Stegostoma tigrinum: one gene and its partner. The protein of the gene in region 1 interacts with the protein of each later gene in a pairwise test. Links are inferred from orthologs where the notes say so. Each region holds a gene or a part of one and is shown in the gene's direction. Other genes may lie near its edges. The genes, in order: protein FAM118A-like and atox1.

Region 1 (9,425 bases):
CAGCTGTAACTCTTGCCCAGTGGTATACACCTATCCCTTTCCATCACTAAAGTAAACATAACAGAATTGTGATTGCTATCACCAAAGTGCTCACCTACTTCCAAATCTAACACCTGGCCAGGCTCATTACCCAGTGCTAACAGACTGTTGCGATGTCGTTAGCCTTGCACGTATTCTTCTCAGCGACTAGTGAGTGTGAATGAAAAATAGCTCTGGCAGAACTCTAATTAGATGCTAGTGATTGACACAGGCCTCCGTGCTATAGCCGTGTCCATGAACTTAGTATTATATTGGCAAAAATGAAGGGGTATGAGGTGCCTGGACTCTTTGTTGCAGGTCCTTGCCCTTCACAGAGATGCAGGGAGTTAGGTGTGTGCCCTTCTTTTCAAAGGGAAATGTGGCTGCCTTCTTTTTCTAGAATTTAAGCAGGGGGCACTCCTCATTTAAACTGTGGCTCTAGCCCCTGAATAGAATCATCATCTCAAAATGACTCTTGAGACAGAAGGAGTCTTGCAGAGGACATTATCAAAGCTGTTTCAATACACAAGGAGAAACAAATAGCTGCCAGCTTGCTGTTCAGTTCATAGGAAAACTTTCTATCGAGACCTAATAAAAGCACCTGACTGCATTTAGGATATGTGAATAATTAAAAATATTTTGATTTTAAAGCTTCTTTTCAGATGAGCTCCTTAAATATTTGAGATGATAGTTTGGATTGTAATTTGATGTACTTGCTATAACTTTGAACTAAATTCCACATGTAGTTAATTAAATTCAATGTATGGGATTTAATATAATCTTTAGGAATGGATTAAACAGCTAACTAAAAGGTAAGAAAGAACAAGTATTAGTCGAATTGTGTTCAACGGAGCAGGACCTGGGATTACTGGGTTTGGTTAACTGAGTACTGCAGAGACTCGGGTAGTTCATACTAGACAAACATAGTCTTTAAAATGCATATTAGGAAATTTTGTCATGCAAAACATGATCAAATGTGGATTATAGAATAAACTTCCTGAAAATAAATACTCAAATCAATGGACAAGCAATTCACTATTATACTTGCATATAATGACATCTTTTTGAATAGGTGAATTGAAGTGGATAAGTTACCTTCCTCACCTTTAATTATCTTTTGACTTTTGTACAGGGACAGAAAAGGGAATAGGGATAAACCGACACACGTATATGGATAAAGTGAGTTTTATGTTTTTGACTGTCAAGAATGGCCTTTATTCTTACAAGTGAATAGAATGTAAAGGTGATCTGAGAATTTTTTTTTTTACAAACTTTTAGTCCAGAACATGTGTTTTTGCCATGTATGTCCATCTGTGGATTAACATCAATGTGGTGGTGTGAGTATTAAGAGGTTCACTATGCTGCATTATTCGTACTAGGCTGACTGAAAAGTTAAATTGCGCATAGGAAAGGAAAAGTGATGAATTGACTAAAATTTAAATCTCAGTTATTGGGGATTCTTGAAAGCCAAATTACACATATGTATGAAAGAAAGAGGAAAAAACCTGCTTGGATGCTCTTATGGATTCTACTTTATGTAGAAATTAAAAACTGTCTTTTTTAAGAGACTATCCAAAGTAAGAAATGGTTAGTAATCATCTCTCCAAAATATGTGCCAAATCTGCCCCGAAAAGCTACCAAAATGCTTGGGAAAATACTATCATTTGGCAATAGCACAAGGTTCTATTCAGGGGAATGAGCACAAGCCTAGCCTGTCCAACCTATTCATTGTCACATATTTGTCTGGTAAACCTTCACTGAACTGCTTCCAATGACTGGTCACCTTTGTTAAAGAAGGATGGCAATCATGCTCCATATAGTAATCGTTATCTCCTGACTTTTGTATTCACTATGTGACACGAGGGCACAGAGTGTACAAATGGAAGAGTGCACCTGGAAAAATAGTAAAAGGACAGAATTCCTGTCAAGCTTCTATTCCATTCGCCCAATTCCTCTGTCTGCATTGCATCTGTTCCGATGATGCCAACTTTGACATAGGTACCTCTGAAATATCCACTTTCTTTCTCAACTGCGGATTCCCGAACACCGTAGTTGACAAGGCCCTCAGTTGGGTCTAACACATCTCCCACACTTCGGCCCTCATCCCCTCTCCCACAACCGTGGTAGGGTTTCCCTTATTCGTACCAACTAAGCCCCCATCATTCACATCCAGAGGATCATTAGCCACTAAGACCACCATCTCCAGGCAGACATTCCCCTCCCCTCCCCTCCCTTGTTAGCCTTCCTCAGGGACCATTCCCTCCAAGACACCCAGGTCCACTCCTCCTTCACTCCCAAATTCTCCCCCACAGTCCCATGGCACTTTCCCCTGCAACTATAAAAGATGTAACACCTGTCCATTTACTTCCTCCTTTCACGGTTTTTAGGGCCCAGATGCACTTTCCATATGAAGCAGTGCTTTACCTGCACTTTAATCTAGTTTACTCCATTTGCTATTCACAATGTCACCAATGGCAAAATGAAGCATAGACTAGGTGATTGCTTCGGAGAACATCTATCGCAAAACAGACCCTGAGTTTCCAGTTGTCTGCCACTTCAACACACAACCTTGTACCTGCCAACATCTCTGTCTCAGGCTTGCTGTAGTGCTCCAGCAAAGTTGTGGAGCTTATGGATTCTACAGTGCAAGCTGGAAGACCAGTACCTCATTTTTCTGCTTGGGAACTCTACACCCTTCTAGAAACTCAGGTTCAACAATTTCCGGGCTTAAGCTCTCCCATGTCCATACCCCAACCCCCCATATACCAGGCCTTGTTGTCACATGGTCTACTATTACACATAACCCATTGTTAGCCATGAACAATCCCTATTAACAGCTATACATCCTCATAACCTGGTTGCTATCTACTCTGTTGTTGGTTCAATTGTCCTCTCCTCTCTGGACTCTCTCTCCACCTACTGTTTTACTTTGTACTCCCTGCCCAACGCTGTCTTCTGCATAAAAACCAACATTTTCCCAGCTGCCATTGGACCCAAAATGTTAACTCTTGATTTCTGTCCACAAATGCTGCCAGACCTGTTGAGCTTTTCCAGTAATTTTTGTTTTTTGTTTCAGAATTAAATGTGCTTAATCTGAATGCATGCTTCATTTGTCACTGGTTGGATGAAATGATGGCACTAATAGAAACAGATTAGCATGATGTGACTGCCACTACAAGTTGAGGTTATGAACTGATCTCATCTGAGTCCTGAGCTTCACTAAATATAAGGAATGGGGTAAATCTGTTTTTAAAAAAAATGAATGAGATCAGGATAGTAGTGAGCAATTATTTTACTTTAGGAGGAACGTGATTTAGAATTGGTTTGTATGGAAATAAGGAACAGCAAAAAAAGTTACCTATTGGAATTGTTTATGCCATAACAATAGATACATTGTAGGCCTGATTAAAAATAAAAACATGATGAAAACTTGTAAGAAAAATGTTACCACTTGGCAATTTGAATCATCTTGCGGATCGGAAGAATGAAATCAGCAAAAATAGTTTGGGCGATGAACTCATAGTGTATTCAGGGCAGTGTTTCTTTTAATACATTCCAGATCAATTCAGGTAGCAGCCAATTTTATACTGGGCAATGTGTAATAAAACAGAATTCATAGTTTCTTCACTATACAGGTATATCATTTATGTAAGAATCCTGAGAACTGGGATTCATAAATGCAAATAAATGCTCGGAAATAGGTTGAAAGGAGATAAGTGACAAACGTTTATGGAGATATTTCAAAACTCTGAACAAACATATTTTCCATTGAGAAACAAAGACTGAGAGACACAACATTTTTGGCAATCTAAGAAAATTAAGGGTGTTATCAAATTGAAACAAAAGATATGCAATGATACAAAGTTAAGTGATAGGATGAAGATTGAAATATTTTAGAAATAATGACCAAAAAGAGGGAAAAATTAGAATAGAAGAGAGAGCTGGCAAGAACTGCAAAAACAGTAGGAAAATAAGCTGTATGATCAAAATTAGACCATTTGGCTCATTAGTGAAACATATTCCATGAGATCATAGCTGATGTAATGATCCTCCACTCCATTTTCCTAACCTTCTATACGTATGCTATAACAGAAAATTAAGAAAGCTAATACAATTATCATTCATTGCAAGGAAATTAAATACAAAGGGAGGAAGTTATGCTTATTATATGGGGTACTCTTGATCACCTTTGTTTAAAGAAGGATGACATTCATTGAAAGCAGTTCAAAGATGGTTTACTGAACTAATAGCTGATGTGAACAGTTGGACAGCATAGGCTTATACCTATTAAAATGTTAGCAGAATAAGAAGCAATCTGGCTTTTTAAAAAAAGTCATAAGGCTTCCTGACAGAAGAGATGTGGAGAGGATGCTTTCTTTTACAAGAGAGTCTAGAACTACGGATTACCATTGAAGCACGAGATTGCCCACTTGAATGGACAGTGAGAAAGCAACTTATTTTTTCCCCACAAATGTCAGTCTTTGGAACACTCTTCCCGACAGGAACAAATATTTGGGCACTCGAGTCTGGCATTGAACCCACAAATGAATGAATGTAATCAGAAGTAGTGATTGAATCAAAGATAGTAGGAACTGCAGATGCTGAAGAATCTGAGATGACAAGGTGTAGAGCCAGATGAACACAGCAGGCCAAGCAGCATCAGAGGAGCAGGAAAGCTGATGTTTCTGGCCTAAACCCTTCTTTCTGAAGACATGTCAGCTTTCCTGCTCCTCTGCTACTTTGCCTGCTGTGTTCATCTGGCTCTACACCTTGTTATCTAGGGATTGAGTCAATCCTGATTATTTAATTTTAGTAATGCCATTAAAGGTCTCTTGTAAACTACAGTGTAAACAAATGTTCACTGTCAAGGCCGATGGGTTTTTAGAGCAGAGTGAAATAAATTGGAACAGTTTATGGGCATTGCTCATTTTCAGTTTGCTAGAGGACAATCCTCACGTTTGATTTTGGAGAACCAGAGCTAAGTTTAGAACCAAAACAGACAAGGTAGCCCTGGTAAACATTCTGATCAGATAGAGAAGGTTAAAATTTCAAACATAAAAAGGTTAGATGGGCGAGAGGGAGAAGAGTCTTAATTTAAACTGTTTGAACAAAGTGGGGAGCATCCTCTGAACCTAGTGAAAATAAGGGCACCTGTTCAAGAACTGGAAGTTTCACAAGCTAGCCAACCAGGTGAGATGGCTGATTGCCTTTACCCCAAAGAAGCCCTTTTTCTACATCTAATTCACTGAAGAAGAATTAGGTGGGAGGGTGAAAGAAAGAAGAAGAAACAGCTGAGAATGCAAAGGGGATAACCTCCTCCCACGCCAGAAAGGAAGCTTTGAAAGTAAGCAATTCCAGAAATCCCGTATGTTTCTATGTATTCCTCTGCTCGCTCTCCTTTTCTCTCTCTGCATTGAGTGTTAGCAACGTTTCTGCTTTGATTTCAAATTTTCACCGTCTGTATTTTTATTTTGGAGCACTGACAGTGGGCTAAGTTTTGTGTTGATATGTGAACAAAATGTTTTTTTTTCAGGTGCACATGGATTTAGTTCATCCTTCTCAAAACCTTGAGCAGAAGTCCAGGTAAATACCCAACAATGGAAATGAATATGACTTACAGCAAAAGGAGTGATATGATTAGTGCAGAACACAAAATTTAAAATAAATCTTCCTTGGTGAGATAGCCAAAGTCTGTAGTGCATGACTTTACTAAAGTCAAAAAAAAATGAAGGATGTAATGATTAGATCAAGCTAAATTAGATTTTACAAACAGAGTTGCTTAGCTTTTTGTTCTGGAAATAATTAAGTCAATTAGGAACCTGCAAAATAATTTTAATACATTGAGCATGGGGGAGAAAAGTCAGGAGTTCTTTGTAACAATTTGCATAATGAGTTAAGAATGCATTGTCATGATGTGAAAGAGGTTTTTTACATTCCTTTGTGGGTTGTGGGCATCTAAAGCTAGACCAGCATTTATTACACATCCCTAAGTGCCCAGAGGGTAGTTAAGAAACAACCACGTTGCCTTTGTCTGTAAGTAGGGATGGTAGATTTCCTTACCGAAAGGTAATTAGTGATCCAGATGGGTTTTTTTCCTGACAATCTGCATCAGCATCACCAATGGGCCCTGCTTTCCAGATTATTATTGAATTCAAATTCTACCATTTACTACGGCACGATTCAAATCCAGATCCCTAAGACACTAACTAGGTCTCTGGATTTTTAGTTTAGTGATGTTACCGCTAGGCCATTGCCTACCCTATTTAAAGCTAAACATCGTAAAGGAAATTAATCAGGTGACCGCCTTTTCTTGTACTAGTTAATTATTTTTTTATGTGAGCAGTTTTCAAAAATTCCTTTTTGGGGTATGGGCATGTCTGGCAAAACCAGCTTTTGTTGTCTGAGATAGCAAAGTGTGGAGCTGGATGAACACAGCAGGCCAAGCAGCATCTTAGGAGCACAAAAGCTGATGTTTTGAGCCTAGAACCTTCATCAGAAAAAGGGAATGGGGAGAGGGTTCTGAAATAAATAGGGAGAGAGGGGGAGGTGAATCAAAGATGGATGGAGGAGAAGATAGATGGAGAGGAGACAGACAAGTTAAAGGGGCGGGGATGGAGCCTGTAGAGGTTAGTATAGGTAGGGAGGGGATAGGTCAGTCCGGGGAGGACGGACAGGCCAAGGGGGTGGGATGAGGTTAGTAGATAGGAAATGGAGGTGTGGCTTGAGCTGGGAGGAGGGGATAGGTGAGAGAAAGAACAGGATATGGAGGCTGGGGCAAGCTGGGCTGGTTTTGGGATGCAGAGGGAGCTTTGAACTGAGTGGCTGGCTCGCATAGTTAAGATCCTGCCACATTAATGAGGGACTGGGGTTACATGAGGTTGGATAAAGTAAGGGTGACAGATTTTCTTTGAAGCAATCAATAATGAATAGTTGTGACAGCCACCTTTACTGTTTTTTTTTATTTCGCATTTATTTATTAACTTTAAATTTATCAGCAGCTATTGTGGATTTGAACTCTGAATTTAACACTGCCACTGTCACCACTTGCCCACCATAAGCATATGTGTATTGTGTTGATGTTTATGATCTGAGATGAAGCTTTACTTTTTAGTGTGAATTTTTCAATTGAAAATGATATTAAACTACTTGAATATGATGTCAAGACTGGAGACAGAGAGAAACATTGTTGATTTATGACCATTTGGTCAAGTTTTCCTTGTCATAATTGGAAATGTGATATCTTGGTGTACGATTTGTTCGTCACATTTTAAGTTAGATTTAATCTTCACTTGAAATATGTTACAACATAAGCTAATTCAGGTGAGCAAGTTTGGTGCATCCACCCTTAAATTGCTGAGAAATCAAGTTACTCAAATTACTGAGTTTAGAACTATTTTGTTCTTGCCTTCAAAGTGAATATGGAAAAAAAATGACAATGTGAATATGCTTTTGATAGGTATAATTCACGTGCTTCCTCCCACGCTCCATATTTTTTCAGACTCTTATGATCCGAGCTGATGTTAATGCTCAACAAGTCATATCCCAGGGTTGGTAACCTGTAACCTTTTTAACTATGTAAGTCAGTTGCTGAACACATTTATACGAATCTGCAAGTGTTCTTTGACCATGTAACATGTTTATTAAACAAAAAAAATTGAATTGTATTGGATTAGACAAAAAAGGCTATAAAGATTTCAGTGCAAGCACCTGCAAAATGTTTTGAATTCAAGATAGTCTGTTTATCCCAGCAATATCCTTATAATCTCAAATCTTAATGAAGATTCAATATTATTTCCAGAACAAAACTTCTTCCCAAAACTGGTAATATAGGAAACATAGCCGAATTATGCATGAAAAGATTCCACAAACAGCAACGTGACCGTGATCAAAAAAATCACTTTCAGGAAGCTATGGACTTGGATCTCTACATCCCTTTGCACCTGGGTGTCCTGCTATTTACTGTATAGTTTCCTCTTGCATTGACTTTTCATAATACATCACCTCAGCTTGTCCAGATTAAACTCTAATAAGAACCAAAAGAACTGCGGATGCTGTAAAATGAGGAAAGGTCACCGCACCCGAAACGCTAACTTTTTTTTCTCCTCCACAGATGCTACCAGTTCTGCTGAGCTTTTCCAGCAACTGTCTTTTTGCTCCAGATTAAACTCCATCTGTCGTTTCTTCACCCAGCTTTCTAACTGATCTGTAGCCGGTTGTATCCCTTGATAAACTTCCTCATTGTCCACAACTCCAATTTTGCACGTCCGCAAAATTACTAATTGGACAGTCTACATATTCATCTAAGCTATTTACATATATTACAAACAACCAAATTCCCAACACTGATCCTTGCGAAACACCACCTGTCAGAGAACTCCACTCATAAAAAGCTCCCCCACCACCCCTCCCCCAAAAACATGACTATTATTTGTCTTCTTTGACCAAGCCAATTTTGTATCCAATTTGCGATATTATCATGGATCCCATGCAACTTAATCTTCTGGACCAGCCCACCATGAAGGACCTTGTTGATACATTTAGTAACATCCATGTTGACAACATTCACTACCCCATTCTTATCAATCAACTTTGTCACTTCAACAAAAGAACTCCTCAAGTTTGAGAGACAAGATCTCCCCTGCACAAAGCCATTGCTATCCCTAATAAGTCGACTCTTTCCCAAATGCAAGTAAATCCTGTCCTTAAGAATTGCTTTCCAGTAATTTCCCTACCAATGATGTAAGACTCAATGATCTATAATTTCATGTGGTAACCCCGTTGTCCTTCACAAAGGAAGAATATTAGCCATAGGTGGGGTCACAAAATAGCCAAAGACCTCAGCAATTTCTAACCTGCCTCTGTCAGTATCATAGGATAAATCCTGTAAGGCTGTGGGGACGTATCTATCTCGGAGTTTTTCAAGTTACCCAACACTACCGCTTAACATCGACATACCCCAGCACATCAATGTTGCCCATCATCCTTTTACTACTTGTGAACACCGATGTAAATTACTCATTAAGGACGTAACCCACTTTCTCTTACTCTGCACCAGTTTACTCTTTTCTCCTTGACTGAATCTACCCTTTCTCCACTTAGCCTCTTTCTCGTAATATATGTATAAAATGCCTTTGGACTCTCCTTATTCTTATTCCTACTTGCAAAGGCCATTTCATGGCCCTTTCTAGTTCTCCTAATTCCTTGTTTAAGTTCTTTTCTGCTCCCTCAAGGGTCTTGTTTGATTTCAGTTTCTTAAACCTTACTTATGCTTTCTTTACCCTTTTAGACTAAGCTTTCAACATCTGTTGTCATTTATCGTGCTTGAATCTTGCCATCCTTGTATTTCATCCTCACAGGAACATGCTGGTTCTGAACTCTCATCAAATGGCCTTTAAAAGACTCGCACA
Region 2 (9,595 bases), on another chromosome or scaffold:
TTGTGGGGGCCTTGTTATAGGAAGGGTGTCAACAGGCTGGAGAGGGTCCAGACAAGATTTACAAGACGTTGCTGGGAGTGGAAGGTGTGAGCTATAGGACAGGCTATATCGGCTCGGGCTTTTTTCACTGGAGTGTGGGAGATTGAGGGGTGTTTACTGAGGTTTTTAAAATCATGAAAGGTACGGATTAGATGGATGGCAGCTCTTTTTCACCTAGGGTAAGGGATTTCAGGACTAGGAGTTTTTAAGGTGACACAGAAATTTTTAAAAAAATGAAGGGCAAAATCATGGATGCAGGGATAGTTTTAGCATTTCAAAGACATTGAATAAGTACATGAATAAGAAAAGTTTGAAGGGATATAGGCCAAGCTCAGGCAGGTGGGCCCAGTCTAGTTTGGAATTATGGATGACGTGGACTGATTGGATTGAAATCTCTGTTTCTGTTCTGTATGACTCTGGTAGTAAACCTTGCTGATGTCTTTGGCTTGCCACTGGGCTGAGAAGCTGAGAGGAAATAAAAAGAGAAGAGGCCAACTTTTTCAAGGAGCAGTAATCTCTTGCACCAGATCATTTTACTCAGACTTTATTTTATGGTAGAATTTCTGACATGAGATACCAGTCAGGACTTCTTCAGTAATATGGAGCCATCTTCCAACCTCACAGTGTCAGGGGAAGGCAAGTCTTTTTTCAGCTGTCAGTGCCATATTCTGAAATGTAAAAATCCAGAATCACAGACAGCCAGTTTGACACTGCTGGCTAAAGGAAAGTACGTAAGGTATGTGTGGCCTTAGGGCGTCAGAGGGTAAGGTGCCAGCTTTTTAGGGAACAGGACACCAGGTGGAGAGGGTGCCAAATAGTACGAGGTAGCATGCCAGGACGGTAGGGGATAGGGTGTCAACAAGTAACAAATAAACAGATGGATAGGCTATCACACAAGTAGGGTGCTCAGGCGCAAATAAGTGACAAATAAGGTGGTTTAGGATGGGTGGGTAAAACTGGATATTGTGGTGTTGGAAAGACATCAAGTCCTGGGGTGGGTAGTGTTGTCGGGTTCTGGTGTAAGAAATGGTGTTGGGTCAGGATCTGGGGTGGGAGTGGTAAAGGATCAGGGAGATGTGTTGTTGGAACGTGCAAGGTGAGTTGGGGGGGGATGGGTAGTCAGTTAAAAAGCTAACTTAGAAGTTAGACGAAGTCTAACAGTGGCTTTTTCTGGAGCAGGGTCTCGTCAGTGCCTGGTTATCTCTGTAGCCACAAGAGATCATCCAATGTGTTTTCAGTTGCCTTTTCCCTGCTTTGAACATTAATAGTTTGAGGTTGTGTCTTTAGGTTTGACTTTCCATGGGTCACTCCATTGCCAAACAATGCTTCATTTACATCAGCGGCCATTTTTGGCAGTATGACCCCTCTTCTGAAGACACAATTACAAGGAAACTGCCCATCATACTTTGGGGTTCTGAGCCATGTTCATTGCTGAAGAGGTATAATCAGTTTAAGTTAGATAAAGTTTAACTTTTCAGTCATTTTCTAAAAACAAATAGGAACCACTTGTTGTGCAAAGGCAGCACACAGAGTGTAGGAGTTATACTATCAGTCAGACAAAAACAGCCCTGAGTGAAATATAAACAATGCCTGTGAAATCTGTGAGAAAATGGTAGATGATACAATATTATAAAAACAAAGAACTGCAGATGCTGGAAATCTGAAACATGAACAGAAAATGTTGGAGAAACGCAGGGCCAGTTTGAGTCTAGTGACCCTTCGTCAGATAGTGTAAGATATATGTGTTGTAATGGTTTGTATAAAGTTTAGAGGTGTAAATGGTTCTCTTTATGTATATGTGAAAATCAACAATCTTTGACCTGATTTCCTGTGAACTCTTATTGCTTTGGCAAGCTGTCCAATAAGAATGACAAACACATCATCAAGCTAAAGCCAGTAAGAGTCAGAAGTACACTCACACCACAAGAAGATCTAGAACAACAACTTACATTCATATAGTGCTTTTAGATTTTAAAACAAACCAAACTGCTTTATAAAGGCATTGTCATCAAAAATTGATGCCAAGCCACATATATGTTGGCCAAAAGCTTCTTCAAAGCAGTAAATTTTATGGTACATCTTAAAGAGAGAAGGAATGGTAACAAGGTTGAGAGATATAGGATGAGTGCAGCCCCAACAACACTCAAGAAGCTTGACTCCATCCAGGAAAAACGAGCCCGTTTGATTGGCACTACACCCACAAGCATTCACTCCCTCCACCACCGACACCCTGCAGCAGCAGTGAATACTATTTACAACATGCACTGCAGAAATTCACCAAAGATCATCAGACAGCACCTTCCAAACCCACCACCACTTCCATCTAGAGGGACAAGGGTATCAGATATATGAGAACACCACCACCTCAAAGTTCCTCTCCAAGCAACTCACCATCCTGACGTGGAAGTGTGTTGCTGTTCCTTCACTGTCGCTGGTTCAACATCCTGGAATTCCCTCCCTGATAGCATTGTGGGTCAACCCGCAGAAGGAGGACCGCAGCGATTCAAGAAGGCAGCTCATCACCACCTTCTCAAGGGCAACTACTGATGGGCAAGAAATGCTGCCAGCCAGCAATGCTCACATCCCACAAATAAATAGGAAAAAAAGGTAGTGTGGGAATTCCAGAGCTTAGGGTCCAGTGCTGGTGTGATAAAAAATGGGGATGTGGAAGTAGCCATAATCGGAGGAACAGAGAGATATTGGAGAAGTGAAGAACTTGAGGGGAAATATTGAGAGAGATAGGGTTAAAGTCATTGAATAATTGAAAACAATGGCAAAAATCTAAAATTTCTAAGGCTGCAAGGACAGAAATCCATGTAGGTCAACTAGCACAGAGCTGATAGATGAACAGTACTTTGTGCCATTTAGAATATGGGAGCCACTGTTTTGAATGACCATTCTACTTTGGTTGCATAAGACCTATCTGTAACATCAAGTGGTAGGACAAGATCGCTGACACTCAAATTTCTTTGCAAGGTACATGTTCACCAGAAAGCAGCTTTGCTGAAACAACTATGCAGTACACACGGAATTGTCCTGTGGTATTCTTCAGCCAGCTGGGCACAGAAACCCACACCACAGGACATTCCAAACCTAGACGCAAAGACATCCTTGAAGTCAATCTAAGACCCTGTACCTTGGATAACCCAGTTTCCTCCCCAGGAGGAGAAACAACCCCAGATCTTTACACCATCAAGCAATAAAGAAGAGCCATAAAAACATTTTTTCTTCCAAACTAGAACCTCAATCCAATGTCCCTTCAAATAGTAACAAGCCTACATTCTGGAAATCACCCATACTCTGGGATTCATTCCAGCACTGACAGGTCAACACACAGCTTAGGACAAAGGAACATTGAAATATTTCCTTTAGCTCCCCCCGAGCGGTGTTGTCTTAATACTGCTCACAGCCATAAATGACAACAAACTCTATGTTTAACTAACTCACCCACATTAAAGCAAGATTTTGCAGAAGCTGGAAAACTGAGAAGAACACAGAAAATGCTGTAGAAACTCAAAAAAATTGTCTTTTGATGTGTTATGTCAGTTCCAAGATTTCCAGTTTTCTGGCCCTAGCCACCTCCTTTCCTCTATGGATGAGAAATTCTTCTACACATCCATTCCCCCATCAGGATTAGCTGTGAGGTCTCTGCTTCTACCTTGAAAAGAGATCTGCATTGCCTCCATTACTGCCACCCTCCATCGCTTGGCTGGGCTTGTTCTCACTTAATTTCTCCTTCAACTCATCTCATTTTCTCCAAGTCAAACATGTGGCCATGGACCCCTGCATGGGTCCCTGGCGAGCCTGTCTCTTTGTGGGGTATGTGGAACACTCCTTGTTCCAGCCCTACTCAGGCTTCCACCCACAAGTCTTTCTCTGGTACATTAATAGTATCTTCCTGCTATTGCCTGGAATTTGAAAAAAATGTCTTGCTTCCAATTGCCATCTTTCTCACACCTCCACCTGCATCTGACTCTTTCCTTCCCTCACTTGACTTCAGTGTTTTCATTTCTGTGGATGAGCTGTCCCCCAGGTATCCACTACAACCCATTGATTCTCAGTGAAGGTTATCTAAGATTGCAAAGAGGTCTTGATCAATTGGGTCAATGGGCTGAGGAATGGCAGATGGAGTTTATCTTAGATAAATGTGAGGTATTGCATTTTGTTAAAACAAAAAGGGCGGGACTTACAAAACTAATGGGAAAGCCTTGGGCTGTGTTGTCCAGCAGAGACTTAGGGGTTCAGGTACATAATTCTTTGAAATTTGCTTCACAGGTAGACAGGGTGGTTAGGAAGGCATTTGCGTGCTTGCCTTCATGGCTCAGACCATTGAGTGTAGGAGTTGGGAATGGTATGTTGAGGTTGTGCAGGACATTGCTGAGGACTCGTCTGGAATACTTTGTGCAATTGTGGCCACCCTGTTACAGGAAGGACATTATTAAACTGGAGGGTTCAGAAAAGATTTACCAGGATGTTGCCAAGGATAGAAGGTTTCAGTTGTAGGAATAAGCCAGGTTAGGCTGGAACTTTTTTCACTGCAGCACAGGAAGTTTGGGGGTTGGGGGTGACATTCGCCTCTAATTGAGTTGTGGGTCTGAAGTATAGCCCGCGGGCTCCGCCTAGTGAGGGATCGCTGCGTTGCGTGTTTGGATTGGGGGGGGCCGGGCGCTCCTCCTAGCGGTGGCTGGCTGCGTTGCAAGTCGGGGTGGAGTGTCAGGTCGCCGGTTTGTGAGACGTCAAAGGCTCCGCGGGCTCCCCGTAGCGGCGAATCACTGGGTTGCCAGACAGCGGGTGGGCCCACGGGTTCCCCCTAGTGGCGGATCGCTCGGTTGCATCAGAGATAATGGGAACTGCAGATGCTGGAGAATCCAAGATAACAAAGTGTGGAGCTGGATGAACACAGCAGGCCAAGCAGCATCTCAGGAGCACAAAAGCTGACGTTTCGTGCCTAGACCCTTCATCAGAAAAGGGGGATGGGGAGAGGGTTCTGGAATAAATAGGGAGAGAGGGGGAGGCGGACCGAAGATGGAGAGAAAAGAAGATAGGTGGAGAGAGTATAGGTGGGGAGGTAGAGAGGGGATAGGTCAGTCCAGGGAAGATGGACAGGTCAAGGAGGTGGGATGAGGTTAGTAGGTAGGAGATGGAGGTGCAGCTTTAGGTGGGAGGAAGGGATGGGTGAGAGAACCCACTGCATCCCAAAACCAGCCCAACCCGTGCTTCCTCTCACCCATCCCTTCCTCCCACCACAAGCCGCACCCCCATCTACCTACTAACCTCATCCCACCTCCTTGACCTGTCCATCTTCCCTGGACTGACCTATCCCCTCCCTACCTCCCCACCTATACTCTCTCCACCTATCTTCTTTACTCTCCATCTTCGGTCCGCCTCCCCCCTCTCCCTATTTATTCCAGTTCCCTCTCCCCATCCCCCTCTCTGATGAAGGGTCTAGGCCCGAAACGTCAGCTTTTGTGCTCCTGAGATGCTGCTTGGCCTGCTCGGGTGCGTGCCAGGTTTTTTTTGGGGTGGGGGCGCTGGTTCCCCCTAGCGGCGGATCGCTGGTTCCCCCTAGCGGCGGATCGCTGGGTTGCGAGTCAGGCGGGTGGGCCCGCGGTCGCCCCCTAGCGGCCCTATTTGTGCCGGTGAATGGGCAGTTGCGCATGCGCCGAGGTGACAGCCGGTTGTGGACGAGGTTGGGAGCAGGAGCAGAGAGGCGGAGACCCCGGAGTCATCATGGCGGTGAGGCGGAGGGGGAAGTTGTGGGGGTGTGTGGGCTCGAAGCCCGGGGTGGGGTCCACGCAAACACCGCGCTTGTCACGGGGACCCGCGCTCTGGATCAGTACGGCCTGAGCGATTGTTTGTATTTCCTAGCGGTTGGACCATCCTTCCCCCCCCGGAGCTGGGGCCTTTCCCTCGCCCGTCCGCCTGGGCTATGAGTACAGCTGGCTGTTCGGCTACAGGAGGCGTATTACACCCTTGCCGAGTCCCCGGTCTAGCTGCTCCCGCGAAATGGCGCAGCAGAAAGTGTTTGCATTCCCAGAGATGTTTCGAGGCTAATTTTTTTTTAGGGCACAACCTTTTTGCAAGGCTGATGACAACAAATGGTCTGGGGTTTTGTGGGGAGGGGTGGGGGGAGAACTTGATACACATTTTCTGTCGAATGCATTGAGACCAGTTTGGATTTTGTCTCAGAGAGGGTAGGAGAGGTGAATCACAGGGTTGTAAGTTACTCTCCAAAAACTGAATGCAAAATCTGGGCCGGTACTTCGGTGCAGTACTGAGGGAGCGCTGCACTGGAGGATGGGCATTCCTGATTTCAGACAAAGAGTTACATCAAAGTCCCACCTCTGGCAAGAATGTGCAAGGTCTCATGGCACTATTTGAAAATGTTTCTCTCTACGCAATTCAGTCGATAAGCTCAAGAACAGAAGTTGCTGGAAAAGACTCAACAGGTCTAGCAGCACCTGTGCAAACAAAGTTTAACTTTTGGGTCCAATGACCCTTCTTCAGACCTTCGGTGTTTAGTAGAAGAGTTACTGAACTTGAACGTTTAACTCTGCTTTCTATGTCCAGATGCTACTAGACTTACTGAGTTTCTCCAGCAACTTCTGTTTTTTTTTTCAAAATTTCCAGGATCAGTTTTTTTTGGTATCTTTGATTCAGTAGGTACGGTGGTCAGTTCTGATGAAGTCTCAGGGGATTCAAATGTTCACTTTAGTGGCATGGGATCCTTTGTATGAGGCAAATGAGCTCAGAGCATGGATTGGCTGTGGGGACTGGGATATTATAGTCATAACAGAAACATGGCTAAGAGAAAGGCAGGATCGGCAGCTCAATGTTCCAGGATACAGAAGCTGCAGAGTGATAGAAGTACAAGTGAGGAGGGGGAGTTGCCCGTTTGATACGGGAGGACATAACAACAGAGCTTAGAGAACATATTCTTAAGGGGGTCATTAGATGATACCAAATGGTTTGAATTTAGAAACAAGAAGGGGATGCTCACTTTGTGACTTGTTATAGACCCCCAAATAGACAGCGGATACTAAAGGAGCAGATGTGTAGAGAGATTGCAGATGCACGTAGGAATAATAGAGTAGTACCGATTGGAGACTTTATTTTCTCCTGTATTGACCCAGAAGGTAAAAAGCCTGGATGAGGTGAAATTTGACAGATGTGAACAAGAAAGTTTCCTAAGTGAATATTTAGAGGGCCCTACTCGGGAGGGTGCAACACAGGAAATCCTCTTAGAAAACAAGGTCAGGCAAGTGACTGAAGTGTCAATCAGAGAGCACTTTAGGTCCATTGACCATAACTCTCATACTTATGGGAAAAGATAGAACAGGTCCGCAGGTTAAGGTGCTGAACTGCAGCAGGGCCAGTTTTGGAGCTATTAGGCAGGATCTATCAGAGGTCGATTGGGTGAGTCTGTTTGAAGGAAAAGGAACCACTACCAAATGGTAGACCTGGATGAACACAGCAGGCCAAGTAGTATCTTAGGAGCAGAAAAGCTGACATTTCGGGCCTAGATCCGTCATCAGAAAGGAGGCGGAGGAGGGGGAGGCGGATCAAAAATGGGTAGAGGAGAAGATTGGTGGAGAGGAAACAGACAAGTTAAAGAGGCAGGGATGGAGCCAGTAGAGGTGAGTGTAGGTGGGGAGGTAGGGAGGGGATAGGTCAGTCCGGGGAGGATGGACAGGTTGAGGTTAGTAGGTAGGAAATGGGGGTGTGGCTTGAGGTAGGAGGAGGGGATAGGTGAGAGGAACAGGTTAGGCAGGCGGGCACGAGCTGTGCTGGCTTTGGGATGAGTAGGGTGGGGGAGATTTTGAAGCTTGTGAAATCCACATTGATACCATTAGGCTGCAGGGTTCCCAAGCGGAATACGAGTTGCTGTTCCTGCAACTTTCGGGTGGCATCGTTGTGGCACTGCAGGAGGCCCAGGATGGACATGTCGTCTAAGGAATGGGAGGGGGAGTTGAAATGGTTCGCGACTGGGAGGTGCAATTGCTTATTGCAAACCAAGCGTAGGTGTTCTACAAAGCGGCCCCCAAGCCTCCGCTTTGTTTCCCCGATGTAGAGGAGGCCACAACGGGTACAGCAGATGCAGTATACCACATTGGCAGATGTGCAGGTGAATATCTGCTTGTTGTGACACTGATTTATAGTGATTGCATAGAAAGTTATCTCCATTTCTTTTGCCAGTTAGTGATTAGGATTTGGAGTCCACTGCCTGAAAAGATAATGAGTATGGTTTAGTAGTAACTCTCTTAGTGACCTTTATGAGTGTTTGGAGGAGAACAAAATTTCAGAGATAAGGGGAAAGAGTGGGGGAAAAGCAACTTACTACATGGCTGTTCAAAAACGTGGACATGTTTCATGTGATAAATGGCTTCCATTTATACCATAATTCTCTGGTTCTTTGTTCATCCACCTCAGTCTTGTTATTTTGAGTTTGTGAGACAACGTATATAGTGTCCGTTTTGTTTAAATATCTCCATCACATGCATAATTTGATAATTTTAATAACGGATCATTGGGATTCTGAAAACAGCAATTTTTATTTCTATCAAACCTTTAGTAAAATGTTTTAACAGAGCATTATAATCCAAGATTTGCCACAGAAGTACATGCCAGGTGATTTTTAGTGAATGACTAATAAGTTTTGTTTAAAGATCTGTGTTAAGGAAGGGAGAGCAGTTAAGAGGCCCAGTGGTTAAACTGAGAAATTCCAGGACTTGGCCACCAAGTATGTCATGATTAAAACTGATGTGATTCAAGAGGTCACAATTAGTGAAGTGAGCATATCTACTGAAGGAAGTAGGACTAGAGGAAAATCCAGAGACAGTGAGGAGCACACCCTTGGTTAGATTCAAAAATAAAGACGAAAATTTTGATTGAGTATTTTTAAATCATTGAATCTTTTGCAGAAACACGAGTTCTTCGTCGACATGACATGTGAAGGCTGCTCTAACGCTGTGACCAGAGTGCTGAATAAATTAGGAGGTGAGATTCCAAGATAGTATCAGAGATAATGGGAACTGCAGAGCTAATTTTAGTGTGAGAAATAATTCTGATAACTCTGTTATTTCATTGTGTCAGGGCAACATCAGAAAGTGGTCATTTGACCCACTTTCATTTCCCTACCTTGTATGTCCCTGAAGTCTCTCCAATTATGGCAACTATTAGGTCTGGAAAAGATTGATGTATTTGCTTCTGATCTGCCCAGTCATCTGTTCTGTATATTGATAACTTACAACACAAGAATGGAGGTTATTTTTTACCAGTCCTAAGTTTGCCTTTTACTAGTTTCTGCCTGAAAACTTGCGGTCTGTTTTGCAATTTAATTTAACTTTTGGGATTTACCTTCTATTATTTACAAGATCAACTTCATTGCTGAAAGAAATAAGATTTTCAGAATTCTGATCTCTGAACAGTCAGGATGAATTCTGTGGCCAGTCTCTTTGAAATTCCTGCATATTACAAAAGTAAGATTAGGCCTAATCAAGGGACAAAAGTAAGATTAGGCCCAATCAAGGATAGTAGTGGTAAGTTGTGTGTGGAG

Evidence for each region.
Region 2: the proteins of protein FAM118A-like (region 1) and atox1 interact in binary tests that used the Homo sapiens proteins (3 or more experiments, as listed by UniProt). The two-hybrid records come from large-scale screens. The link is inferred for Stegostoma tigrinum from reciprocal best matches to the Homo sapiens genes FAM118A and ATOX1.

Annotation. Positions count from the first base shown.
Region 1 is NC_081371.1:20,274,667-20,284,091, reverse strand, and holds the start of protein FAM118A-like, read left to right. Parts: upstream 1-5,536; coding exon 5,537-5,601; intron 5,602-9,425.
Region 2 is NC_081366.1:16,694,365-16,703,959, forward strand, and holds the start of atox1 (copper transport protein ATOX1), read left to right. Parts: upstream 1-5,689; 5' UTR 5,690-5,769; coding exon 5,770-5,775; intron 5,776-8,960; coding exon 8,961-9,036; intron 9,037-9,595. UniProt on the Homo sapiens protein: Binds and deliver cytosolic copper to the copper ATPase proteins. May be important in cellular antioxidant defense.